Styela clava: one gene and its partners. The protein of the gene in region 2 interacts with the protein of the main gene of each other region in a biochemical or structural test. Links are inferred from orthologs where the notes say so. Each region holds a gene or a part of one and is shown on either strand. Other genes may lie near its edges.

Evidence for each region.
Region 1: of the proteins of cyclin-dependent kinase 1-like (region 2) and wee1-like protein kinase 1-A, one has a biochemical effect on the other in vitro, tested with the Homo sapiens proteins (5 studies listed by BioGRID, with this or other methods). The link is inferred for Styela clava from reciprocal best matches to the Homo sapiens genes CDK1 and WEE1.
Region 3: of the proteins of cyclin-dependent kinase 1-like (region 2) and cyclic AMP-responsive element-binding protein 1-like, one has a biochemical effect on the other in vitro, tested with the Homo sapiens proteins (2 studies listed by BioGRID). The link is inferred for Styela clava from reciprocal best matches to the Homo sapiens genes CDK1 and CREB1.
Region 4: the proteins of cyclin-dependent kinase 1-like (region 2) and lymphokine-activated killer T-cell-originated protein kinase-like form a complex in vitro, tested with the Homo sapiens proteins (2 studies listed by BioGRID and IntAct, with this or other methods). The link is inferred for Styela clava from reciprocal best matches to the Homo sapiens genes CDK1 and PBK.

What each region holds. Positions count from the first base shown.
Region 1 is NC_135255.1:13,733,545-13,740,517, reverse strand, and holds the start of wee1-like protein kinase 1-A, read right to left. Parts: upstream 3,007-6,973; 5' UTR 2,828-3,006; coding exon 2,719-2,827; intron 2,488-2,718; coding exon 1,466-2,487; intron 1,349-1,465; coding exon 1,179-1,348; intron 1,035-1,178; coding exon 62-1,034; 3' UTR 1-61. UniProt on the Homo sapiens protein: Acts as a negative regulator of entry into mitosis (G2 to M transition) by protecting the nucleus from cytoplasmically activated cyclin B1-complexed CDK1 before the onset of mitosis by mediating phosphorylation of CDK1 on 'Tyr-15'.
Region 2 is NC_135260.1:19,958,361-19,965,801, reverse strand, and holds the start of cyclin-dependent kinase 1-like, read right to left. Parts: upstream 3,007-7,441; 5' UTR 2,833-3,006; coding exon 2,796-2,832; intron 2,526-2,795; coding exon 2,369-2,525; intron 1,996-2,368; coding exon 1,872-1,995; intron 1,601-1,871; coding exon 1,430-1,600; intron 1,025-1,429; coding exon 861-1,024; intron 388-860; coding exon 246-387; intron 1-245. UniProt on the Homo sapiens protein: Plays a key role in the control of the eukaryotic cell cycle by modulating the centrosome cycle as well as mitotic onset; promotes G2-M transition via association with multiple interphase cyclins.
Region 3 is NC_135252.1:2,242,590-2,249,578, reverse strand, and holds cyclic AMP-responsive element-binding protein 1-like, read right to left. Parts: upstream 3,003-6,989; 5' UTR 2,873-3,002; coding exon 2,060-2,872; 3' UTR 382-2,059; downstream 1-381.
Region 4 is NC_135254.1:11,926,930-11,934,952, forward strand, and holds the start of lymphokine-activated killer T-cell-originated protein kinase-like, read right to left. Parts: upstream 3,010-8,023; 5' UTR 2,910-3,009; intron 994-2,909; 5' UTR 877-993; coding exon 750-876; intron 450-749; coding exon 332-449; intron 172-331; coding exon 11-171; intron 1-10. UniProt on the Homo sapiens protein: Phosphorylates MAP kinase p38. Seems to be active only in mitosis. May also play a role in the activation of lymphoid cells.

The DNA of each region.
Region 1 (6,973 bases), on a different chromosome or scaffold from region 2:
TTTTGAGAACATTAGGCAGGGCAGAAATGAAAGAACATAATTAATTGAAATAGGAAACAAATTAATAAATTGAAGTCATGCTCATACTGCGACAAGTCTTTTTACCTAAAAGTCTATTAGTTTTTCCGCCTCGCATACTGCTGAAATTTTTGCGTAATCCAGTTGACATTCCCCTTCGGCCTCCAAATGGAGTTTTGTTAAATTGTGATTCTTGCTGACTTTGTCTTGCTTCCTCCAACTCTCTTGCGAGTATTTCATTTTTGAATTTTTCTTGGTTAAGCTCTTTTCTCAATTGGTCTTTTGATTTTGAAGAACCAGGGCATAGGAGAGGGTGTTGTGTGAGGCTTGCTGCGGTTGGTCTATGAGCAACGATGGGGTGAACCATGCTTTGCAAAAGTTTATTGAACTCATCTGAGCAGTGAGTGAGTGTCTCGAGGCCTTGGTTACGAATTTTGTGCCATGAACTGCCATTTTTGGGAGGCGTTCTTCCACTAGCAAGTTCATGAACAGCAACACCAAGTGCAAAGACATCAGCTTTCTGTAAATGTGAATATTCTTCCTGGAGAACTTCATTAGCCAGGTAACGACAATCGCCTTCTTCAACTTGTGGGTCTTCAATTGAAGTAACATGACCAAGATCTCCGATTTTATAAACAGAGCATTCCTTGGTTGTTGTCACCTTTTCTTCTTCGTCTTCGCTATCTAATTCACTCTGATGAGAGTCCAGTGAAATATTCTGCTTTTCATTACAAATGAAGATATTTCCTGGTTTAATGTCCATATGAACCAAATTTTGTGAATGTATATATTTAAGTCCTTTAGAAACTTGCAGCAAAAGATTTTTTGCTTCTTCTTCAGAGAATTTTTCGCCTTCTTGTTGATTCTTTGCTGCTACATCAGCCAGGCTTCCGCCATTACAATATTCATTTTGAATGAGCATATGATCATTTTCTGCCCAAGCTGAATAATAACGAACAACGTGTCTGTGTTTTCCAAGGACAGCATGAGCGCAGACTTCACGAATAGCATTTGCTCTGCAAGTAAAAAAAACACAAGGTTAGCAATTGCAAAATTAAAAGATCTCAGTGTATGGTATTTGCTCGAGTTAATTCAAATGTTTAATAAAGTAAACCAAAAGATAAACTAATACGATGTTTTAATATCATTGATGAACTTACTCGTCAACAGATCCAGCAAGAGGTTTCTTTGATCTTTTTACTGCGTAAACACACCCATCAAGACGATTGACACATTTAAAAACGGAACCAAACTCGCCATCTCCAATTTTTCCAATTTCGTGAAATTCTTGTTGGTAACGAGAGATGTTGTTTTCACGTAAATGAATTCTCTGAAAATAGAAAAAGTCAATTTAGGAATGGAAAAGTACCAGCAACAATTAGACATAACTATTTAAACTCTGGAGACTCATGATGAATATAAAATACAGAAAAAATGTTCTATTTACCTTGGCAGGCCTCATTTCATCTTCCTCATCTATGTCATCCAAACAAAAAGAATGTTTCCTTTGTTTTCCAGTTCTTGAACGTTTTGAATTTTTTGGTCTGTTATCGGGTGTAAATGGGTTCACATTTACAGATGGAGTAGTGGGTTCTTTGAACTTGTTAAACCTGGGTAAGCTCTTTGAACCCCGAATTATCTCACATTCTTCATCTGTTGTGTCTGTTCCATCTGCGCTTATTCTAAAAGTTCTTGGCATTGAGGGTGTTGAATGTGCGGCATCCATTCGCAACATACGAAGACGACTTCTCGACTTGAAAGCACTGGTTGGACTTGGTGGTGGAACTGGTGTGGGACAGTTTTCAGAATAAGAAAATTCTATTGGTTTAGGTAAAGCTGGTTTTCGGGAACGCATTTTGCGTAAAAGAGTTTTTGGTGTGGAAGGAGAATCAAAGAGTGTGAGCTCTCGAAGTTTTCTTGTGTGTGGTGGAGTGTCTGGAGGTGACCGACCTGGTGAGCAACCAGAAACGCCCGATGATGATGCTGGTGATTGTTTTGGTGATGGAATACATAGCGGCTTGCTGCTGGGTCTGGTTGGAGAAGAGAAACTGCTGTCACTGTTATCATCACCACTACTACAAGAGTTAAATTCTAGAACATTTGATGTGCGAATGCTGGATGAACTCGCTGGTGTATTTTCATCGTATGAAACATTTCCAGAATCTCTACGATCGCAATAACTTGAAAATGGAAGCTTTCTCAAAGCTGGTGAATGAAATTCTTCATCTTCAGAGGCTGATTCCATGGCATTCAAAGCACAAATTTTCCTCAAATCATCTTCATTATTATTGTGTAACATTCTTCGTAAAACTCGAGAATGTGTTGTTGAGCTGATTGGTGTTCCTTCACAACGACTAACTTTAGATTTAGGAGGAGAGAAAAGAGAACGTTTTGCTGGGGAAGGTGAACTGATTCTTGAGCGGCTATTTTTCATTGAGTCAGGTGATGGTGTCAAAGACAATTGCATACCTAATAAAAAAGCGTGGGGTTAGTCAATGAGGTAATATCATATAGCCAATTATTGAAAAGTGGACAGCAGAACTGAGCTGCTGTGACATGAATACCGTACCGTAGGTAATAACGTTAGGCCTAACTAACAAAAAATTCCCAAACAGATCAATGAATTGCTTTTTATGAAATACCTGAATACAGAGTTATTTGCAATAAATCTGGTCTACTAATATGGAAATAGCAAATTACCTGAATCGTCATCCATGAATCCATCATCACTAAAATCCAATGCCATTCTGATACTATTTGATCCAGGTAAATCCTTTGATGGACTGGCACATGGCAGTGCAAAAGACATAACGGCAGTTCTATAAATCCGATGCAAGTAATTCCGATGATATTTGATTCTTTTGCCCTTGTCTCAGAGTGTGTAAAGTTCAAATGTAACGCAAGAGTTGATTTTACTGATATCACGGTAATATAAGATCTAAACAATATAAATAAACATTATTAAACTGAAATATATTGATGTACATTTAGATATCACCTTATTTAAAACTTTATCAAAAGTATATGATAAAGAGATAAGTCCTGAAGTCCGTAAGTCAAAGTTGTACGGTACCGTTACTATAGACACTGGCTACTGGACTATATTTCAGACGATTGTGTTTTCATATTAATACCGCAACCCATTCTCATAAAACTGTAGGCTAGTTTTCACTGAGCCCGTCCTATCTGTACATTTTAATAATCCAGAATGTACGAAAACCTGGCCGTTAGAGTCGACGGTTGTGGTATCTGAAAACTGCTTGATTTGATTTTAAATTATACGCTAGGACTGGTCTTTTTGTCTCATAATTCTAATCTTCATAAACTGTTAGCAACATTCCTCTGATCTAAGTAATGTACAATGTGACACCATACGTCATTTTAGCACGAATGATTGAATCTGACGTCACCAACACGTAATAAACCCATGAAAACATGCCGCTAGTCGACTGGAATAAGCGTGAACACCATTTGAACAATCGCGCCGCGTGCACGGCGTGTAGAATGGCGGGAGTCTAACGCTCTCAACCAATCATATCACTCGTCATATGACGCAAAACGAGAGAAAGAAAAACGCGACGTCATTAATTCTTTCATTAACCATTATATCGATGCTTTTTTCCCTCTGGCGCTTTGTAACTTAGCGTCGCATAATGAGGCAAGGCGAACGTCTGTTCGTTATCGCTACGTTTCCCGCAGCGCGACACTATCTCAATAGTTTTGCTGTGCTTCCTGTATTTTTAAAGCAACATATTTTATTCAATATGTGCCCCTTAATTAACTGAAGACACGAGTCTTTAGCCTTTATTGTTCTTAAATTATGCTTCGATCAGACTTCATGGCTCGTGCACTTGCTAATGAGCAGGTACAATCTATCACTAAATAGATTGTATCATTGTCGGATATGCAACTCTAATTTTGCAAATTTGTGTCATTGTACGCATAAACCAAATTCTTGTAGGAAGTCAAACCTTATCAATTTTCATTATACAAAATTCATATCACTCCTTTGCAATTCTATACAGTATATATCTTTTGCTAATGTAATTATTACTATCTAATATATTCAACGAACTTCCTAACTTAATGAACTCATTACAATTGAGCTATGAGAGGGTATAACTTGTCACTCAACGGACCACAGTGAATATAATTTAACTACATTATACCTGCTAATAAATACTAAAAGGACGATTTCTTAAAATAACATAAGATAACTTGCTACAAGACATATCTCCGTTGGGCCATGCGTACAGGAACAGGTTCTTGATATATTTTTATTGGTCTGGCCGATAGGGTGCATGCGCAAACAAACCCTGTTTACCGATCGGTGATGTTATCTTTAATGTGCTTTCAATGAAGGTCCGGGATTACATTGATGTAACTAATAGCGATATTATCAAAAGATATTTCGGTACTATAGTTGGAATAAGTGCGGAAATAACCTTTCGATTGATGTTCCAAATTGAAATAATCAAACTTTTAGGTTTCCGTAACCTTGTATGACAGAGTTAATTCGAGGGCTCTTGAGCATGGCTAGTAAAATTCCCTACCCTGGAATAATATATTTCGCGAAACTCGAATAGTCCATGCTTAAAGTTTTTATCTCGGTAGGCAAGCAAGTTGAGAATAACACAAAACTGGGAACACCCGGTATGAACCTTACTACGCGGGTGGAATATTCAATGACGTAATTACAACGTGATTTCCATAAAAGGAAAATTTAACACTCAAATAAAAACGATGATTCATTTTCGCAGCCAGACGGGTGTAATTGGCGGATTTGTGGATATAGCAATGTGACATTTCATAAAATTCATCTGTTCATACCTGACGGTTTCTGTACCTTTACCGCGGTGTTAAAATTCCGACCGCGGGATTATAGCACGTCGCTACCCAAGGGTGGAGACTAAACGTTCCACTGCAGTGGAGACTAATCCATGAACCGCGGTACGATCAAATGGCGGTAATATCGCAACAATATCGTTTAATGCAAATCGCATATTGCAGCGGAAGCAAGCGGACAAGGTGGACCAATTTCCGGAGTATAAGCATGAATATGCCATCCACATGCAATCTGATGCTGAGATTATCGTATATTCATTCGCCTTTAATGTTGCAATCAAAGGAAATGGGCGATATGTCATGCGCAACATCAAGGTCGTTTAATATGCAATACAATAATCACAATAACCTATCTGTAAAGATAATTGACCGGTGTTATAATCCCACCGGAGCAGAAATCGACCAACTCATTTTACTCCAACGCCCCTTTATTCACATAAAATTAAAAAGAAGTAATCCTTGCTTATTACAACATATAGTAATTCTGAAACAATTACAGTACTTAGAAAAGCAGGGTAATTCCAAAATCCCACTTGAAACAGAATACGTAATTTCTTACAGGTAATATTCCCATTCCCTATCGTCAACGTAAATTACCTTAGAGTTGAACAAGTTTGGGCGATAGATGAGAATGTGGCGCCGGTAACCATTTTGGTTAATACGCCGTGGCCAGTCATGATTTCGTCTTAACTTAATTGACTATATTAGAAATTGAAAAGTAAATTCTGGTCCTCCAAATACATTATTGTTAATTGTCCGAAGAGGTAAATCGATAGCAAATTTAATCCAGAAAGCGCGCTAATTTGGTAAAATGACACCTTTCGTATTATCGCCCTCATTTCTGTGAGAAAACAAACACCTCTTATATTGTTTATAAAGTGCTAATCAAAGTTTAGCGACTGTTATATTTTAACATGTCGCTGATATATTTACTAAATTGTACTTCCAATTTTCAAATTAAACTGGCCATGTGTGTGCCCCTGTTTCTTATCAAACATAAGAACATGCCATATATGTTTCAGGCTTGTTGTGTAAGGCTATCAATATGATTAAAATATTCTATGATATCAACAAATAATTAAATAAATGAGAAACAACCTCGTAAAATTATTTGAACAATATTTCACACATAGGTGCTATTTACATTAATGGTTAAAAATATCGCTCACGTAAAATCGCATCTAATCATAAACTGATATTGAAATATTTTAATTAGGATGTTTGAGATAGGGTATCTAATGCTAGGCATGTCATTATACGTTATCATGTAATGTTATACAGTTGATTGCCGCTTTCCTTCCAGTTAAAGTTAATTTAGATAAAAAAAGATTCGATGTTAGTATGATAAGATAGTTCAGCGGACGTCTATTGATTAGTAAATCATAGCACAGAATTAGTAACAATTTACTCAAATTTGAGCAAATGGAAAACAAAAATTGTCAACAAAGCGTGGAGTTATAATTGTATTTCAAGCGAACCTATTCAAGTAAAACAAAAGCTATTGACAATAAATAGTAAAATGCACCGAATTTCATCTCTAGCTAATACTGTTTGCTCGAAGCAATTCAACGTACCTGGGTAAATTCAAAAATTAATTATACACAAGTGGTCTGAATGCATTTCGGTTGTATATCCCAATATCTCTCGAGTCGTAAGTCGAAATCCAAATACTAATATATATTACATTTGATTAAATACAGGTCAGTACCTAATTTACCTAGACTACAACTCAAATAGTATAAGAACTAAATCAAACTTTTCTGCGTATTAATCTGCTTTATTATAATTGGCTTTAGCTTAGGCCTTGACTGACCTACTTTAAACTGGTAATAACAAATATGACATTAGCACATTATATCATATTATATTATATTATTTTTCGATCTGTAGCAAGGTGCAGTCAACATGTCCGCGTATTTACATTTATATCTATAAATAAATAAATATCGACTCGTGACTGTACAGAAATCGTTTATTTGTTTTTGTGAGCCGTTTGTTCAACTACTAAAACACTTTTGTTTGGTTACAGGTCTACGGCAAAACAGGTCTCCCGCATAGATAAACAATGGACTATGTTTATTCGGGTTTTCAGACGTAAACTCTGCTGAAC
Region 2 (7,441 bases):
GTCCACTTCTTGAGAGACTTTTTTTACAGGTAAATTCAACAAATTTATTAAATGACATCTATAATGACCTTGGGACATCTCACAGAGCCAGTTTCCAGATAATTGAATGAGATTCCTAATTTCAATGACCAACTACTTCATCATCACCATTCACCATAAGGTGTTCATGATGAACCATACAAATTGCATGTACTGCATGTGAAAGTACACGAAAAACACAAGTAAAACATATCTCATCTGAATACCATTAGCAAATCCAATCCTTCATCAGAGAGGTTTTTAACAGAATCCGCAATATTTCCTTTTTTCCATTTTGGGAATGTTTGTTTGTAATCTTTCAGCGATGTGACTCCGGGCCAATCATCATCAGTAGCAGTTCCCAACACTCTAGAAGATTTGAAAGTGTATATTGAGAGTATTAAGACATGTTATGATATTCTCAATACTATGCAGAATTAGGATTCAGAGCAGTGATGTCGAGCCTTCATCCTCACAGACCAAAACTAAAAGGTCTATTATTGATATTGAAATAGCTTGATGGCTTTTGACAGTTTCTACATGTTTTAGTGAGTTTTTGAAAGTATGTCATGAAATCTGAATTTTTTTTTCATGGAAATAGCAAAGGGATATGAAAATGAAGTTTTCCGTATGCCACTTCTGATAATAATTTGCATAGAACTTCCGGTATCGCTGCTCGATAACCAGCTCTGGTTCCCCGCGACTTCCCTTCCACAGTAAAACTGTGTAAACTATCATTTTCTCTTAATTTGTGCTCGTGTGGAAAAAATAAACTCAACTCAACTATATTTAAAATGGAGATGCTCAGAAAACCCATAAAATAACAAAGCTGAAATTCGAACCTGAATATTCGAAACAATTGATCAATTTCTGAGTCTCCATGAAACAAAGGTTTCTTTGTTGCCATCTCAGCAAATATAGTTCCAATACTCCAAATATCAACAGGAGTAGAATATCTCGAGGATCCCAACAAAATTTCTGGCGCTCGATACCAGAGAGTGATCACCTAAAAATAACAATTCGAATGTGAAACTTGGCATCCCATTCTTAGAACAGTCTGCTATTTGCAAGAATTTTATGAACTGGATATGGAGAACTTTGACTGTTATCAACATGAAGTATTTGGTTATATTAATAAGTTACCATCAGATATGATACTTTCTTTCCTATGATATCATAGTATTGCAATATCCGCACATATGTAAGATAATGATTAGTTCTTAATGTTTGATCTATTCTTGCAAAACCTGTCCAGTGATACTATCTATGGAAAGCCTATACCATAAGTACCAACCTAAATTAAATATGTTGGCTGGTAACCATTATGTCATATACGGAACATTGATCAATAAACACTTTTCGGAATAAGAACAAGTATGAAGGGGGATATGATAAGAGCAAAATTGAACACCTCATGCGTGTAGATTCGGACAGGGATCCCAAAGGCACGAGCAAGACCAAAATCTGCAAGTTTGATGATGCCATTTTTGTCAATCAATAGATTCTGTGGCTTCAAATCTCTGTGCAACACTCGACGCGAGTGACAAAATGTGATGCCTTGCAATATCTGGTATGTGTAACTCTGTTGGCGAGAAATGTAACAATAAAATTCAATGAAAGCAAAGCAACCCACGACGGATTAATATAGTTATATGATAAACAAAGTATACTAAAATGTCATACTTCATATAAGAATTTCCTCCTAAAAGCATACATGGATACACAGGCATAAGTGGAACTATTAACTAGTTGAATATTTATATAGCCAGCTTTTGTCAGCTCCCATTTCCCACATTATAAAATTAAAATATCCCTCCTCTTTTTTTATGATGTACTGCAATATAGATGATTACCTTTACCAACTCTTTGTCCATAAATTTTCCAGATGGAATTGAATCCATGTACTTTTTCAAATCCATCTGTAAAAACTCGAACACCAAGTACAGTTTGGACTCTTGCAAGAGGACGTCAAGCAGACTAAAAATGATAGATTACGCATTAAATGAAAATAGCAATATCCGAAAACAATTCTGATTACAAGTTGATGGTAATGTCACTTTTGATTCAAGCTGCGAACTACTTTGGCAGATACAATGCATCTTTAATAATTTACCGTTAATAAGAACAATGATTTATCAACATAATTGGACTGTAGAAAATTTGAACTTTGAATATCACCATGAAATGACGAAGGATTGAAATTTCAATCCAACTCCAATAACTCGAAGTTGAGATTAATATTAGAAAACTAAAACTGAATTATCTAATGGAAAGAAAAAGATGACCATATGACAGAAAGATAGAATTCAACAGCACACTTAAATAAAGTTTTAATAAAAGTTAGACAAACCTAACAATATTGGGATGAGCCAGTTCTTTCAAAATGGAAATTTCTCGAATTGCGGTACTTGGCACTCCCTCATCTTCACTCTCAAGACGAATCTTTTTCAGTGCAACATGCTGGTTTGTTTTCTTATTACGTCCTTTGTAGACCACTCCATAGGTGCCTGCAATAAAGTGTATATTTGTTTAACTAGAAACAACAAAATGAACAAATCTTAATACACTGATAATATAAATAATATAGATATATTAAATTGAAGTTAAGTATATATGATCCAAGGTTAAAGGTTCAAACTCTATGCACAAGACTGAGTAACCTGTAATAAAATTAATATATTCAAATTCTGTCTAGAAACATAGTGTGTTAGTGATTGCTCGTAAAGCGCTTGTTTATGAAGATGTTGGAAGCCTAAATGAAAACAAATATGTCCCACCTTCACCAATCTTCTCAATTTTGATATAATCTTCCATCTTGTTGGATCCGGCAAGCAGTTCTGAAAGTACTAGTTACGAATCTGATGGTAACTCGCTTATTTAGCAGATATATTATTATTAAGAACTGCCGTACGCACCCAGTGTCTGCCTAGGCTTCCCCAAGCTAATCCACACAGCAACAAAATTAGCACTTGAAAATATAAAATTAAATAAAAATTTATCAAAAGATTTTCCATTAGCTACTTAGTTATGAAAATGTAATTTTTACATAAACATTTTGTAACAAATACAGAAATTAAAACAAAGAGAGTATTTGCATTCAAAGACTGGTTAGCCACCTTATATGCTATATTAATATAAGGACAATTACATAAATAGCAATAGAATTGTATTAGTATCCCAGCATAAACTAATTTTGGCGTTTGTCATTTTATTGCCTTTGCTTTATGCGATGTTCAACTACTTCATATTGACAACCATACAAACTTAACCAAAGGTCACAAATATATGACAGTTTTTGAGGAGTATTTGTATGGATTTATTTAGATATATTTAACTTTTTTCAATGCTGTTTATGGTCTCTATGAATACAACGACAAACTATATTGAAGAATATGATTTTGAGCGATTATATAATTTGTGTTGTAAAATATAAGATTATAAAACTCTTCAATAGAAAATTACTAATTTGGTATCAGGGCACAGTTATCAGATTCCAAGAATGTCTCAATAGCTAGATAAACACTTATTTGTCGCAGAAACGAGGGGTCTGATATAGTTTAGTACCACATGCACTTCTAGTTGTCCTAGCATAGTATGACATATGCAATAATTTTTGCATATGTCAATCCTAACCCCGACCTGACTACATCACCGAAAAATTAAGTCATTCCGACGTCACAGTGACGTAATAAGGCCCACCGAAGTATGCGAATGGTCGTCCAAAACGCGCAAACAATCACCTGAATCGAGCAAGCTATTTCTCTAGCTTTCTCGTCGCAACGATCATGATTGGAGATCGCCGGCTGTAGCAAGTTCGTTATGAACGGCGCAGATGTCATTTCGGGCGATGCCATTGCTATGATAAAATTTTTTTCAGCCAATATTTTTTAAAAAGGACTCTGATAGAAGACATTTTTAGATTTTTTTTTTTCAGTTTATTACAGAGTATCGATTTGCTAATCTTGAGGTGATACCGGTATGGCAGTATGGAGTGCCAACGCTGTCAGGATGTCTCGTATAGGAGGGGTTTGTATTCAACGTTATTATTGATGTCTTTAAATATAGCGGCTAGTCTTGGAATTGGAGGACTGTGCAGTATTTTGAATAAGCACCATTCAATTGTTGCTTTTTGGTTTTTTGTGTTATGAATACTGTAAATATTAACCGCTTGGCAAAATCAAATTAGAATTTTTTTTCGACTGTTATTGTTAATAGCAAATATTGATATGATATGTAGTTTAAATAATATAACAGAGACCGGGAGACGTGGTTCCACAAACACTAAAAATAAACGGATGATATAATGCAGTAATGACTGAATCTGAATGGAAGGCGGATATACCTTGCGAGAGATAACAAGAGTTATCTGCTTTAGTGGCATTTTGATTGCCACATATACAGTTCATAGAAGAGTAATCACCATATTTTCAGGAAGAAAAACACATCAATACTTTCCTTTGACATGCGGACATGATACACAAGAGAAATATTTTTGTCTTTGCTCTTAACATATTTCTGTATTTCTTTAAATACTGGTAGTACCGGTAGCCTATATATATATTATGCCACTATAGTCTACCTTTATAAAATCACTAATAAAGTGGAACACCGAAATCCAGTCAATATTTCATTTAAATTCAGAAATTAGACGTCACCTGACTGCTTGATACCGTAACTAATACTAGACCCCATACAGACATAGGATTTACATATTTATCCCGGGGAAAGGAAAGCCGATAAGACGGCTTATCCATATGGCGAACCATAGCCTCTCGTCTGGTTACCATTCCAAGTCGGGTATGGGATTAGTTATATTGTTTGTTTTCGGAAGCATAGACTTGGTGGTGGAGGAAGCCGTAACCGACCAGCGGGCAGCGGTTACGTGACCACCCAACGACGACGACGAGTCCAGCAATCCTCTCGCACATACGGTAACCATCCCATAATTACTAGGTTTAATAAAATATGTTCATGATTCCAGATCCACAAGGTCATCACACCTAAACTTAATACAAGACTAACTTCGAATACGAATAAATCTCGGGAGTACAGGCAAAATAGAACAATTTCTGAATTTAAAGTCCTAAGACCCGCAGTTAGTACAGCACATTCGTAAATAGCGCATCGAGACTTCCGTCCAATCAGGACGCCTCAAGCCAGTGACGTCTTGTTTAAGTCAAATCAAAAGTTTCGTTTGAAACGCTCGAGTACGCAAAGCAGCCATGCGAGGTTTATGCTTTCTTTTAACTTTAAATTAACCGCAATCGCACATTCACATTCTGTGAAATGGTCTTAATATTTATATCAAGCATTTTGTTCATATATTATTGGCACACTACTCAGTGTGGATTTAGCGACGCCCCAGGGTTTGATAAAATAGGATAGGATTCTATTCATCTAGGGGAGGGGAAGGCGATAAGGCGCGATTTGAACCTGAGAACCCTATCAGGGTAATCAGAGGTCCTGTGGCAAGCGCATTCCCAGTGCTTATATGCATCACACCGCCGAATATTCGTATTTAGATAAATTATTTGTTTTCAACTTCGCTATTTATTCTGAGTATTTGTTTACCCATTTAGTAAATGCATCCTGGACCAGGATGAATGGTGGAAAATCAAGATAACCGCTACCGACTTCATACTTCGTAGACTATTAATTTAAAAAACTTTTTCTGAATTGCAACGGCATTATTGGCATTTTTGACTACAGTATAAGACTACAACACACTACAGTTTAATTCCGTCTACACTCAGACTATACAGTACTGTGACGACCCCCCATTGTTGCAGCATAATGTGCTTATGTGCATCTTAATTCATGATTGCAGGTTATTATACGAAAAGCCTAACAAAGTTCAAGTGTCCACCAGTAAGAAAGGGAAAGTTATGAAAGGCGCACATTCAACAATGAGTGTTATGTAAAATACCTCATTGTGCAACACAATCAAGATCTAGTTTGCCTGATTTGGCAAAGCGAACTCTGCTAGCTACGATAGCATTGTAGGTCAATCACGGGTTGACAAAATGCAGCAATTAAAACAGTCTTTGAGCAAACAACAAGAGGTATTCCATGATTACAAGGACACTGAGATAGTTACAAAACTGAGCTTCAAGATAGCTGAAGCAATTGCGGAAAAAGGAAAGCCGTACAGCGATGGTGAATTCATTAAGAATTGTTTTAAGATATTCATCAAAAATGTATCCACGGAGAAGAAAAATTTAGTGGAGCAAATAAGTCTGCCTCGTTTTACAGTGGCTCGACGAATAGACGATCTATCGGAAAACATCGAAGTTTCTCTAAAAGACAGGATAAGCAAATGCTCAGATTTTAGTATCGTTTTGGATTGTTTAATGAGTTGTTCGATGGTCTGACCCCCGGTATCACTATACTTGTAGTTTGTGGCCCATTGCGCAAAACAGTTGCACGCACCTGCTGTATACGTTTCTCGTGTTCTATTCTGCCCTTGTCTCCTTAATCACGGCTCAATTTTGACCATGTTTTGATACAGCCGCTGCTCGATAACCAGTACTGGGTTTCCGCCTTCAACCTGAAACGTGACCTATTTATAATTCATTGCAATTTGTATGCTTGTGCCTATTTGATGGTATAGTGAAAAATAAACTACTGATTACTGATTGCTTCATTTAAACACAAAATCCTACGATGTTATGAATCTCAGTTTCGCCGAAATGTTATGATTATGAGGTAAGTTATTCGCGATATGTCACACATAAAGATTTTTGCTACTCGTTGGATTCTGCGTCTCGGAAATCGCAGATTAGCTTCGAACAAGTATTGAAAAGCGTATCTCCCATAGACCAGTGGTTCCCAACCTTTCTACCCTAGCGGACCGGTAAAATTAAATGTACTCGCGTACCGGCAAAAAATTGAAATGAGCGGAACAGAAAAGAATATCATATATTCGAGTAATGTAATATCGGGCACTCAATATGCTTCTAGACAAAAGGCACACCTAAAAACATTTCACACAAAGAAAAAGTATATATCAAATAATGTGTCGGCCAACAATTGAAATGGGTGAAACATAAAATAATATCATATATTTGCGTAATGAAATGAGGTGCTATGCAACCATTATGCCTAAGAAAGGCACACATAACACACTCATTTAAAAAACATGTACAAACACAATTACCTCTAGTCAGAATTTTGCTGCTGTTTCGTTTCCAATATAGGATTGCAAACGAGGCCGCAAAGAAATTTCTGCAATACGTAGCTCTGCAGCGGCGTGCAGTCGACTTCCTTGCTTCGTTTTAATTCAAGCTAGTGATGAAAATGTTTTCTTTTCGCGTAAAGCCTAAGTAACTGGTTGAAAATAGGGACAACAGTTTGATTGCTCGATTACCTGGGCGATGGATATTCGTTATCAAGAGATATTAAAAATTGTGACAGTGTTTTTTTT
Region 3 (6,989 bases), on a different chromosome or scaffold from region 2:
CAAGTAAATTGCAGGATGCATTTGGAGAAGAAACACAGATTATACTTTAACCAAGCGTGCTTAACTCAAATTATAAAAATAAGATTTTAGACAGGGTGCCAATGCAATCCATCAGCAAAAAATACCTATGTTCGTTATCCTATGGATGGCAACTGTATGATAAAAATATTGCAGACATCTGTTGTGTTGATTCAAATATGGATCAGGAAATTGGAAAGTCATATATGGCTATGAAATATTACACATGTTCCCAACAGAGGCATGAGATTGTGAATTGTGGCTTACGATTGAGGGTTATTGAAAAAAAAGACTACAAATTTGCATTTTGTACTACATTGGCTCTGCGTTCCCCAGTATCAGGATGAAATGTCGAGAGTAAAATAATTCAAAAGAAATAGGTATATTATTAAACGCAACAAAACAATACAGCCGAATACAAACACATTGATATCAAATTTAAATTCAAGGCAATCATAAATTCAAATTTACATAGATAAAGAGATCAACGAACTAACCATATCATACTTGAACAGTATGTGTGTCCAGCAACCTCCTTGATTGAATTGCTGTATTCTTATTACTGTCATTGCAGTGCATCTCAAATCCTGGAAGATGATAGTTTTTCAAGGCAGAAGATTAAATTCATGAACAGAAGTTTTAAACCGTAATTGATTGAATGCAGGCAGAAAAAACGATAGTTCTGAATGATTCAATTCCAGCATTTAAAATTTGCGCCAAAAATAGTTATTAAATAACTTTTTTTCTTTCTGCCACAGAAATTGGGATAAATGATATATTTTAAACATAAAGATTAGACTAAAATGAACATGCTGATGTACCGTTGTATAACATTAACTCTCTTAAGCAATTAGCGAAATTATAAAAATGGCGAAGTTTTTGGAATTGAGTTTGGCTATTGAAAATACTTGAAATATTGAAAAACTGAGTGAATAAGTCCCTAAATAAGCAGCTTTCAAGTGCTTTAGTCATCTTGTGTCATTGAATTGAATATTTTCCATCAATTTCTCTTGCAAATCAAAATTCAAATGAAATTAGATGAAAAAGCTAGAAATTTTTTTTGAAATGCAAAAATCTTAATTACTGGTACTTAAAAACAGAAGGTTTTGGTTACAAAATTAATTCTGGCCAATGCATGGCAGATATAAACTTGCAACAAAAATGCTAGTAACCCTGCAAAAATATAATTACAAGGAAAACAGGCAACAATAAAACTGCACTGCAAATAAAATAATCTATATGTACAATATGCAGTGAGAAAATGATAATAAGAATCACCAATTCAAATCACAACATATCACCATCTGCAACTTCAAACAAATATTTGGGATTACAGAATTCATAACCGATTAAATACCAGTTCGAAGTTTCGAAAAATAAAAGTTTCCGCATCTTACGGTATATAAATTTTTAAGATGATCATCTTCAAGTAGGAATCAAGACAGACACTAGGTGCACAAAAGTAGTTCAGTTTAAAATCTCAAGACCTTATAAAATAGCAATATATCCACTAAATTTTTTTCTTTCGTCTCAATTGATCTCGGAAGATACATTTTATAGATTTAAAATAAAAGCAGTCTTTCAAAAAATACAGATTTGTGAGAATAATTAGGAAGTACTACTAAAGTCCTAATGATACAATAACTTCACAAGTATATATTGACTTTTCCTTATTGTAAATCTGAAAGATATTGATACTATCAAGTCAAACCTTCCTTATACATATGTATTTTATAAAATTATTATCACAAAACAAGATTAGTTGAAGATACAATTGTATTATTATTTGATTTGTATTACATTAAATTTGTGTTAGGTTTCGATGCTACCAACTATATTATACTTCATTAAAATCGAAGTACTAAAACTGGTGAAGTTGAGGCTTCATTTAACATAGTTTGCAATTCCAAAAATGCGAGTGGGCATTTTCAATATAAACTCAGTCTGACAAATATTCAGCTGTTATTAACACTGCCAGTTATAGGCTTGAGCAAGCTATCGGACAAACAGGATGTCTAACATTCCTGTCCTGTATTTAAGATCACATGTCCTTTGCACAGTACATCTCTTTTAATGTCTTAAGTTCATCGATAAGTGCCTTATTTTGAGTTTCCAGTACCTGTACCCTGTTTTCCAGACACTTAATGTACTCCTTCTTTTTGCGTCGACAATCCCTTGCTGCTTCTCTATTCTTCATTAATCTTAGCTCTCGTTTTCGGGATGCTTCTTCTGCCATTTGCTGCGGCGTTTGCACTGTGTTGGACGGTGAATTACCAGATACAACAGAAAGCTGGCCACCACCTGTTGAGCGAATTTGGTATGCCTGAAGATCACCACCACTGCCTTGGACAACAACATGACTTCCAGGCACCCACAGCTGACCATCTTGCTGCACTATAGCCTGTCCCTGACTCAGAGCATTTGCCACAGAAAAAGTTTGCATGTCAGATTGGTCGCTTATGGAAGGTGTAGATATCTGTATCGTTTGTGGAGCCTGTTGAATAGTAACAGTGCCCGTACTCGTTTGGTATGCTATTGTCGGTGTATTGATTGAGATTGCACTCAAGTCAGACTCTGATTCAGATTCTTCAGAGGACTTATTTTCGCTTAGCACTTCCATTTTCACGGCGGGATTAATTCCACTAGGGCTATCACTTGACAGGTCACTCAATATTTTTCTATAAGAAGGACGCCTAGAAAGGATTTCCCGCTGTCTTTTAGCTGTGTCAGAATTAGCCTGGGTGTCTTCCGATGAAGTATTCCTGGCAGAATCAGTTCCGTTGTTCAGTTGATTAGGTGACTGAATAACAGATTGTTGATTAGATGTGATAACACTTTGTGTTCCGCTTTCCATTGCTGAGTTTATAGGTGAAAGAGAATCATATCGATAATAAAAGTTGTTCTTTCTACTGTTTATATTAGTATAACACAGTCTAATAAAATAACAAAACCTAAAGCAAAAACACAATCTCAAAGAAATTGACCAACCACTAAATTGTTATATTTATTAACATAGATATGCAAAGCGATTGAGTAGAATGGCCTCAATCATATTTTCGGCGTAAGCTATGTAGTTTCTGCTTATTATTAGTTTCAATATACTTACCTCTAGTCTGAAAACCGATTTACTTACTCACACCATCAGTTTGTCACCCAATGAAATCCATGTTCTACTAGACTCAAGCAGTAACATATTAGCATGGCACAGATGTTAAATTTGGAATTGATTGTGAGAATGTACCAGACGAAAACAACCAACATTGTTTCGACTAGTATTATTAAGTTAAATAATTTTTTGGGATAATTCTATTCTTCAGAATACCATTATTTTTTCAATTGACTTAACCTGATAATTGAACTGCCCTATTATCCAAATTGATAAAATTTTGGGCAATATTAAATAGCCTCCTTGAATAGAAACTAATATAACTTTGATAAAAGTATAACGGTAAATAGAATAGCATGTGGTATTGGATAAAATGACATTAAAACAATTGGATATTTTTCCTTATCATCTGTTGTCTAACTTAAACATATCTTACCGGTAATTACAGTTCAGTAATTTTCAAAGCATGGAATGATTATTGAGTGAAAACATGAAAAAATAGAAGTACTCAAAAAATGTCTCTTCAATACACGAGTTAATACAATTACATTATGAAATATGAAGGCTGTTAGTAGGACGAGGCAAGTCAAAAGTGCCCCTTTTCAGCTAGATTGTTCTGGTTTACTATGACAAGGTGTATAGAAGACCAGAAGTATTTCATTTTCGATGAGACCGGCTTCAATTGGTTCTGATATTTCTCTGGCCAATTCATGAACTCAACATATGAATGGTTAAAACATAAGTTTCATGATGTTATCTTTATATATATTTATTTCTACTTCATATCACAATGCCAAGAATACATGATATCAAAATGTGACAAATTTTGATCGATATGGGTAATAAAAAATTTGATCGAGATGATGGGATACTTACGGTACATGAATATACTTGAAGAATGGCTCAATATCATTCAAAGATAGAATAGCAATATTCACAAATTAACGATGTTATCGATTCCATTCATATACTCCCTTTACTTTCTTACTATTATCACACGTTAGATTGCATGAAATGTTGTTACAGTTTTGCCCTTTATTGCATGAACAGAGATATTCCAGAAATTTGGAAAACTATCTTAGTAGGGTTGTTTCTACAGTTAATACGATGATAATGAGGAGTAAAGAAAACATCTTCATAAAATTCTTTCTTCCTGTTTATGGGCAAAATCACAATTCACATATTCCAGGTAATCTAAGCAGTAAATTAATCTGAAACAACTGGGCGACATGTTATTTCATCTTGAAAATGAAATAAGTCTGAAACATTCCTTTAAATTTTCAATAATTCCTAAAATATTAACAACATGAATCCAACAAAATTATTTATCAGGAAACGTTCCCATTAAGATGCTAAAGACAATGTCATCATAATGTCAATACAAGAAAGTGGAAGTAAAAACACACTTTGCAAGTTATTTATTAATGACCATTTGTCATATCATCATTTCAACAAGAAAATATTAGCGCCCCTGTCAAGCTATGAATCAAAACAAAATTAAATTGTTATGGAAAACACATAACAGAGAAAACAAAGATAAATAGGTGACTAAACATAATTCTTTATTATTATATACCCCTAGCATTGTGCAATGATATTGTGTTACTATAATAAGTTGTCTTCATCAGTTCAGATAAATTGCAAATTCCAAATTTAAATCTCTAGCTATTTACAGAATTCGTTTGCTAGTTATGCATGCTATCCTATATTTGCAATACATGGAGAGACATTTTAGGGTCTCGAGTAGTTTTGTACCACGATAACTTCTGGTGGGCATGGCGTAACACTTTTTGCATATGTCATTCCTTACCCCCATGTGATTACGTCATCCGAAAATTACGCCACTGTGATGTAATAGGGCCCCCCAAAATATACAGATTGTCGTTCAAAACACACAGAGGATTATCTGAAGTTGAGCTAGCTATTTCTCTTGTTTTTTGTCGTAGTAATCCTGATATGAGAGAGAGCTGGCGTTAGTAAGCTCGAAATCAGGGGCACAGCTGCCATTTTGGGCTATCGTAGCTATACTTTGTCAAGCTCTATGATATGATTGTGACATGATTTTTGGTAGCATAGTTAGGTGGGAGTTAGTGGTTAGGAATAGCATACAGACATATCCAAAAACTGTTGAGCCAAGCCAACTAGAAGTACATGTGGTACGAAACTACACCAAACCCACAGTTTATAGGTATTCATTGTGAACGTAACCTAACCAAAACTTCCAGTTGTTGTTCTTGATATATGATGTTTTGTTATTTCATACTAAGAGAAGATACACAATGAGAAAAAAGAGCCAAGACCAATCTGTAAACTTTTTGGTATATTCGTATACGATTAAGTGGAAGGTTACAGTTCATCCAGGTCTGCAGGTGCAGTACAGCGATAGCAGGATAAACAACAGAAACATTTTCTTTTCACTTTTCAATACCGGTACCAAAATTTCGGTTTTGTAAGGTCTCTAACGATTTATGCAATCTGTCATCCCTGGATCACTATCACCAGATCACAGACCAGGATGTTACAATATTATAAATTATCGTAAAACGTTAATTTACCTTATTAACTTCCTGATTTTATATGTATCAGTGTATCGGTAAGCTGTCTCTATACCTTTCATTTATAGACTACAATATTATCAGGCCATTTGCAGATTTCAGTATTTCTCCTTTTCCAACCATGGTTAGTATTCATGAATTCCGTTGCTGCAGTATTGTCTGGCTTATGGCCGGAACGTGGGGTGACCCAAATATTGTGTCCTTCAACTTTCATTTCATAATTTATCCTCCTTATTTGTTGCTAAAATGTCTTCAAGTGTTTTAATAATTTGGCATCGCCCAAATTCAAGCTAAAATCAAAACGAAAATGCGGGAAACGGATTCAATACAACAGCACATGCCCAAAAATCTTTTCATCATTCCCGGGTCTAAGTGACGTCAGCTTGTAAATAACTACGTATCAACTTACTTTAATACATATCACGAAAATATTCTACATTTTTCCTGCTTTGTTTTTAACTATTTCAACACCAAACTATTTTTACAAGTACTAGCGTAATATGACGCAATTTTCGTCATTAGTTAAGCCGAACTGTGACGTTTTCCCCTGTTATGACATCAAAGATGGCTGCTGCGTAGACAATGACGAAGAAGTGTTGATGACTCATCGAGCACGGAACCACATATTTCTAGAAATATCTCTAAATTCTAAAATCACTTCAGCAATTTTTTTATATTGGGTTCGAAAAAAAACTTAATTTTATAGAGGGACTTATAATATAGTTTATTCATTGACAGATCCCTGTATATTTCAGACAAAAAGAGATATTAAATCGGTCAATGATGTAGAGGTAAATATCCGGTTCCATGATAACGTTTTATAACCAATGATATTGTTTTACCAAAAATCTGATTTGTTTCGATGATCAACCCGTGCTTCTGATTTTATTGCACTAGTATGTGTATAGTAGAATATAACACATCCATTGTTTGGATGTGCAAAATCCATCTTGTTCTGTTTTAACTTACATTCATTCATAAGTATACAAGTTACCCAAATAATTGATATCTTTCCCTGCGCTCCCATCTATTTCGTTTCGATTATTGGACACGGTAATGGACACAACGATCGTTTCAATATTATGCTGTTGTTGTTCTTTGACACTTTTTGGACACCTAATGGAAAATCTAAAAGGTCGCTTTTCTCTTTGATTACTGGACCAATTGCTTTGAAATTTTTAGTGGTTAAAGATGAAATTTTTCGTCAGAAGGCTATCACTTTTATATATTTCAAATATCTCTGTTGGCTTTGTGAGATTTGTTTTTGTTTGCTATGATGTCACCGACCGTTCTGCGGACGCTTCTGTTCT
Region 4 (8,023 bases), on a different chromosome or scaffold from region 2:
AAGAGCAAACCTAAATGTTCCTCCATTCTCTCCTCCAAGATAGAGAATAAACATTTTTCTGCATCTTCAAGAGCCAAACACAACATTCCATCTTTTGCTTTGGATAATGCCCGGAATCCAACAATATTTTTGTGGTCAATCGATTTCAATATGTTAGCTTCTTCTTTTAACCTTGATTAGATAAGTATTTTCATAGCTAATCCAAATGCAAAAGAAACAAGTGAACTGCATGCATAAGAGAGATAATCATGTTTTGAAATTTATCAAAGAAAGTCATTAAGAAAAAATCTGAACATGTGAGATTACATGCTATTATTCCTATGCTACTCACCGATTGGCAAAAAGATTTGCTTTATTTTTCTGTTTTGATTTGTTAACTTTTTTTACCGCCCATGGTGACCGATGCATGCCTTGCCGTGGTGATCGTTCCAGAAGATAAACACTGACGCCTTCAAAACGGGATATTATAATATAAGAACACCTCACAACTTAAGCACTAGTTAACATTTCATTCCCATACTGTTATCAAAAGCAGTGGAAGCTAAAAACTAAACATGGCATTGACAAAAGAGGGAAACAGATACAAAGGAGTGAGAGCGTTGATCAAAACAAACTGCTCTAAACATATTCGGAGTTGGGAAAAATCAGCAGAAAGAATGCATAATTCAAAGGTTTGAAGCTTTATCACCATGAGAAAGGCCTTGAGAAATATCAATTAGTCAAGTGATTATAATAACTAAAACTTGAACCTGTGCCATATCCCAATCTTTGTAGCAAGGGTGATGCAGGCATATTTAAACAAGGAGATTGGCATTCCGCTCCAACCTGTTTTTTCTTGAACCGCATCACAGGTGTCTGCAATATATTTTCACTCATGTTTTGTATTTTAGACAGCTCTGCTAATATAAATGAAGCAGTGTGTATGAATGGCTCTGTACAGTCGCAGCTTGAATATCACAGATCAGGCTGACATTGCACTGTTGAAATTGAGTTCTAAAAAAAGAGAGCATTGGCAGAATAAGCTGATTGGGATCCTGTCAGGTACAGTACAATTTTATTTAGCGAAATTCAACCAAGATTCTTTACTATGAAATCAATGAACTAATGCATGACCTTTTCGCATTGCCACCAAGATATATCAAAATGTTGATTGTAGGCTAATTAGCTAATTCAGTAATTGGCATTTAGTTCACCACTGCATCAAGACTGTGACATTTGTCTTGAATAATTAAAATACACCGATACAGGAATAGGCCTGATACAATGTCTGCTGGAATATAAGGCTATCAAATTCCAGTTAGGCTATAAGTAATTTTTCTCTTCGATACAATTACAAAACTGTTTTTTAACGGTGGCAGCCAATTTACCACTGATTTGCGTCTCACTTCACACTGTCACAAGTTCAGATAACTGGATAATGAAAAAAATTGTTATGTCATAGCTACAGTAGCTATGATATAAAATTTGCACTAGATCCATACGTCAATCAAAGACCCAACTGCACTGTACCTACTGTCGTTTGCTAGCTCCGATAAACAAAATGCAAGTTTCTAACCAGGTGAACGAATGGGTACCGGTATAGTCTATTTCAGTATTTGGAGCAAAGACTAAAAGGATATTTTGATAGAATTTAGACTACTGCTAATTTTGATGCCCCTTGATCTACGCATAATGGTATGGACAACTATTACTAAGTCTCCGGAATGAAACCAAGGTTGGCACGTCCAAACCGCACCGCGAAGGTTTTTTCATTTTTTGCTTCAGATATGGCACCGGTATATGATAAGCCTAGTTATATCGGCCACCATAAAACAATATCATCCAAACTGTTATATTTATTTTTTTTTAATGACAAATAACAAATAAAATAATATCAAAAAGAATTTCCAACAGTACCGGTACATTATTAATACAGTAATATGTTATATGGTACCGGTACATGTTATTCATGGTTGTTCCAAGGAAGAATGTATGTATGTATGTATGTTTATTCGTCTCGTAAAAGCAATATAAAAGAGTAAGTACTTATAAATACTGAAGACGGGATGTATGCACAAGACCATATTGGCCTAAAACACAGATGTGCGGCATACACCCCTTTGATTTATATAAATTTTAATAGGGTAAATCAAATATGTACAATATGGTCCTTTATACAGGCAGTTGTGCGAGGAGGGTGGGTGGATGCGGTAACAGGGATATGGGTGGAGTGTACAAAACTGTTTGTACAAAGGAGTTTGTTAGACAAAACAACATCTATAAATAGAGACACAACACAACATGAAACACAATGCATATGAATATAGTAATAAAAAAATTTTCTAAAAAAAAAAAAAAATTAAGAATTTGGATGAATGTACAATACCATTGAGTGATGATACCACATACTATAAAACGCGGGAATGGTCAAGTTTAAAGGGTGTGTACATATATGGTATGCACCACTCAAGGGCGACAGTGTTATAAGTGGTCTATGGCTGTTCTGGCCAAAATGTGACCCTACAGGTTTTGGCGAAATATGATAATAAAGGTATGTATCAAATGACTCACTATTATAAGGTTTTTTTTGAAATTCTGGATTCAGCCAAAAACAATGAAGTTTCAAAAAAAAAATAAAAAAACTTAATAAAAAGCATTTCCACAAAACCTATTATGGTTGCATTTCAGCCAGAAGATTAGAAAGGTATAAAGGTACAGTGGGATAGGGAATGATAAGTTATAAAGAGAAGCCATTTTACAATGTCATGGAATTTACATTGGAAAAAGAATTCATCACCGTTCATTTTTTCCATAATTCCATTTTTTTCATAATCATCATTTATACGATTACAATTATTTGTAAGATAAAGCATGTAAAAACAAGTGTTTCCAATTATATTTATTTAACATTCAATATTGTTCAAACCTACTTGATTCTGTTACCGGTACCGAAATGTTCATGGTTAAAATTAAATGTCTCTGTTTAAAATCAAAACAATGGAATCCGAATTTCCCGCCCACGCTGATCCGGAGCTATGTTACGTCGGAGTCTCCCGGACTTCTGTCATCAAAACAGAACGAAGCTTGTGTTACCGCCCTAATGTTTTTATGATGTCAAAATTTTGTAACTCTCGTATTTTTCAGTATCTTCACTGTACGACTTTTGTAATATATGTTTTATTTATAAGTTTTGTGTTGATACATTAATCCGTGCAGAATAAAAAAAAACATCAGAAACTGTTGAGCTGAGATCGGAGTCAGAATTTTTTAAGATTTGGGAGTAGAATTACAAGACGAAACTTTTGTTATTCCAGTTAAACATGGCTTATATCCGGCGCGGGCAACCTTTTTTGGCTCGCGTGCCAAAATCGACTACATTTATTGACAAAATTCATCCGCGTGCCGACCAAAATTGTCGAGAGCTCACTCAGTTGTGACGTCATACTACATTTTTTTGTAGCTACCGTAAAGGCTCGTTTTAACGCCCGGTCTTGATTAAGGGCCCGTTTGAATAGCCGCCCGTGTGAACAGCACATAAAAATAAATAAGGGCCGGTGCTTGAATACCCGCCCGGTGTAAATTATTTTTTTTTGCGGATTTGTACCTGCGGTGCGTAGAAAAAGTCAAAATTTTCATTATCGTTTAAATCATACTTGAGAACTGGAATATATGTCATGAAAGGACCAAAAGAGTTTAATCTAATAACGGATTGCTAACAAACAACTATGAATAAGCGGACACAGAGTTTCATCAGATAAGAGTCTTAAAATTCTTGTGAAGTAGAATGATCTCGTTTCTGAAGCCTCACTCGCGTGCCGAATAAATGGGCTCGCGTGCCAAGTTGCCCACCCCTGGCTTATATCGTTTAAATTTAGTACATGAACATGATCAAACAACTCCATTGATAGTGGTGGTCGTAATTTAGTGCGTTTAAAGGTAGTTTAGGAAGTCCTTTTGAACTCTACAAAGTCTGATTTCCTAATGCCCTTTTAACCAGGACTGGATTGTGGCTTTAAGGAGCCCTAAGCACTTAAGACTTTGATGCCATAAATATCAAAAGTCATAATATCTGCAATTGATTATGTAAGTTTCCATATTCATCATTGGAACATTATTTTTTTCTAGCTTACATTAATGACATGTTCAGATGTCTGAAATCCTCCGAGTCAATCATGTTTGCTGATGACACTGACTTGATTCTTAATGGGAAAATCCTTGAAGATCTATTCACAGTTGCAAACCAAGAATTAACCAACATCCATAGCGGGATGTTAGTTAATAAATTATCTATTAATGCTAAAAAAACTGAATTTGTATTATTCCATCCAAGCAAGCATAGAAGTGTGAGTTGTACAAAACCACTACTGCTCAATGGCAATGAAATTGAAAGATCTGTCTTGGAAATCACAAATATCGCATGTTATTGGTAAAACAAAAAGAAACTTGGCAGTTGCTGCCAAAGTACCCCAGTGCGTTAATCAATCAGCTTTATTAGCAATGTTTCAATCACTACTACTCAGTCATATCCGATATTGTTGCTCAGTCTGGCTCCATGGTAATAAAACACTTGTCTCAAAATTGCAAAGTACTTTTTTAAGAATTGTCTTCAGGAAAAGTAAACATGAAAGTGTAAATCATTTCTATCAAACGCTAAATATACTCAAAGTCGAAGATATAATGAAATTTGAAGTATTATCGTTAGTCTATGATTTTCATAACAACTCCTTGCCAAACTGCTTTGACGACATTCTAACTAAAATTATTTCCAATCGAAGAAGTAGTTCTGATTTTTTCATACCTTTTATGAGTAAGTCTGTGAGCCAGCATGCCCTGTGTTATACTGGGCCCAAGCTGTGGAATTCCCTCCCCTTAAATTTAAAGACATTGAAATCCAAAAAAATGTTTCAGAAAAAAGTCAAGTCCCACTTGATATCCAAATATTAAAAGTTATTATTTCAGAACCACACTGACATAGTTTTTGTAGGTAATTAGATAGAACATCAAAAGAAAGACCATGACAGAATGTTGGGACACTCCTCACTTGCACATACTTATTATTTTCATGAGAATGTTGAACAGCCATAATATTGTTATTGTCTCTGAGATTGCTTATTATTTTTGAACAAGCAGCTAAGCTCTCCACATCTGTTTTGTTTTGCATTCTAGTTGGCTCTTTATTTTGTCCTATAGCATGCATAGCATAAGATTCTTCCGCATATGGCTGCTCATATTCTGTTATGTGCATGTTTTTTGTTGGGTTTCTGATATTCCACATGCATGATCTTTTATTTCTATTTGAGTGGTGTGTTTCTTTGTGAGGGTTGTAGGAGGTATAATTTAACTCCTGTACCTATTACTGTAATTAGGCGACCAGTCGAGATATATTGGATTCTCCCCTTCATTTTAATTTGCTGTGGTATTCCATGATTTGTTTTGTCTGTATACAAAATTTTATCCCAGGTCAAGGTTCTGCTGTGAAATTAACGTGAAGGCCAATAAAAAATGGTTAGTGTGGTTTGAGAGTTCTTGCATGGTTTGCGAAGATTATTTACCCTGTGTCCCAACCAGAATTCAACTCAGGTCTTTCAACTTGCGTTTTAAAGATAAATAACTAATGATTAATATTTACTCAAAATAATAATTTCTTCTCAACAAAAGTGTAGGGTAGTGACTAGTGAGTGTTATTTCCTAATATGAAACCCTTAAATATTTTACTCGCAGATTTTTTTTCTGTTTTTCAGGTCGTTTGTGATGACCAATTCCATGGCTAGCTTATTGAATATAAAGGGTGTATACATCATCAAAATTGGCAGTCTGATGTAGTGATGTCTCATTTATAATAACTTTGAATTGACAACAATTGCGTTACATTAAGTAAATGAAGAAATGATCCTGTGAAATAACAATCCTAATTCCCTTGTCCTTGCAGAAGTCAATATCTAAGATTGAAAAAAACCTTACTTATAACCTTGGTAACCAACATATTCCTATTCCCCGTTGTCCTACCTTAATTAATTATAATTACTTATACTGTTACTTGTACCTTTGAATACATTACACTCTGGACTATAATTTGGCAATAATAGGCTCTAGTTTGGGGAATGAAGTGGTCTAGCCCAGTGTTTCCCAACCTTTTTACCCTGGCGGACCGGTAAAATTAAATTAAATGTGTTGGCGGACCGGCAAAAAATCGAGATAACCGGAACAGAAACGAATAACATATATTTCCGTAATATAATGCAATGTCGGGCACCCAATATGCTTCTAGGTGTGCAAAAATACACACCTAAAAAAACACGGAGAAAAACTAACGCAGTAACTGGTTGAAAATACGGACAACAGTTTGATTGCTCGATTATTTAGCGATGGGTATTCGTTATCAAGAAATATCTAAAATTGTTTCAAGTAATTCTGTTTTAAATCTGGACTGTAAAGTTGAATCACAATTTTAATCAAGCTTTTTCTATTTCGTTGGGTTTATCATATTAATCCCTCTGCAGTTGATTGACGCCTTGAACGAATGAATTTACATTACAATGATAAAGTCGTTGATGACTTGGCACCAAGCTCAAAATCCTACTGTGTCTGCTCAAAATACTGGAAAAGATCTCTGCAGCCCATGCTTTTTTGCACGTCTCGTGGCCACCTGTAGGGTCGCAACAAGTTCATACATCACTGGAAAACTATACTGTTTTTGAATATGCATAACGTATGATATTGATGGTTATATCAATCAAGAAAAGCACGCAGAACAGAAAAGCACGCGTGCCGTTTTTTGGGTTTCTGAATCTTGCCAGATTTCATAGAGCCCATTCGCGACGAATCGGAGCCGAAAAAGCGAAAAGTGTGATTGCTCGGCGCCAAGATGTCGCGAAAGACGGCGCCATGATGTCGCGAAAGACGTCGCAATATGACGAAATTTCTCGCGGACCGGCAATAAAAGCTTCGCGGACCGGCGGTTGGGATCCACTGGTCTAGCCCACCTCTTCATGCACCCAATTCTGGTAACTTTGGTTGGGCATTTTTGGCAATTGACTCCAACTATAATCAGCTTGGCAATATATTTTTCATAATAGTTTATCTCTACTGTTCACTCCCATTTATAAAAGATATCAATTCGGCAGTGGCAAACGTTATAAATTTATTAATATGGTGTGGCAAGTAATTTTTATTTTTTTTTAACTACCCGTATGTAATTTATAACTTCTGTATGGTTGTGTGTGTGGGTGCGTGTGAGCGTGTGTGGAATATTTCCATTATTTTAGGTGAGTGAACACGTACCACTTCTTCTTGGCAAAACCTTCCATCTTGTATACATTCTGTAAGTTTTAAACCTTATCTAAGGTTTTGTTTGCTCTCCTGATTTCATAATCAGTTTTTATTTATTTTTTTTACCAATCATCTTATTGTTATGCTGATTTTTTAACCGGGTCAATACTAAGGTTACTGCACCAATAAACACTGAGACACTATCGAAAACTCAACTATGGAAATTTGTGTAGTGCTCTCTTTTCCTTGGTGCCCTAAGCACGTCCTAATTTGCTTAATGGTTCATTCAACCCTGGCACCACATCCTAGCATTATTGGACGCCTACAAATCATAATAGAGCACGACTAAATAGAGAAAGTCTGGCATTGTAACCCAAACTAATATCTTGTAAAATCGAATATTAACGGTAAAATGCTATTTAAACGTTTAACGATTGGCGCTTTTCAACAGTATTGAATTTACAGTGAAATGCTATTCAAAACATCCAACGACTGACTCATTTTAACAGTACTAATAAAAAGTGTCAGTTATTAAACGTTTAAACAGCATTTCGCCGTAACTTCAATTGAACGTTCAAATGGCATTTCACCGTTACTACAATACTATTGAAAAAGCGTTAGTGATTAAATGTTTAAATAGAATTTCGCCGTAATTTCAAGACTGTTAATGTCGTCATTCGTAAACGTTTGAATAGCATTTTTCCATGTATTTAAAAGTGTTTATAAGCGGTACTCGGTTATGTTTAACTATTGCAACACATTTTGATTCCTGTCT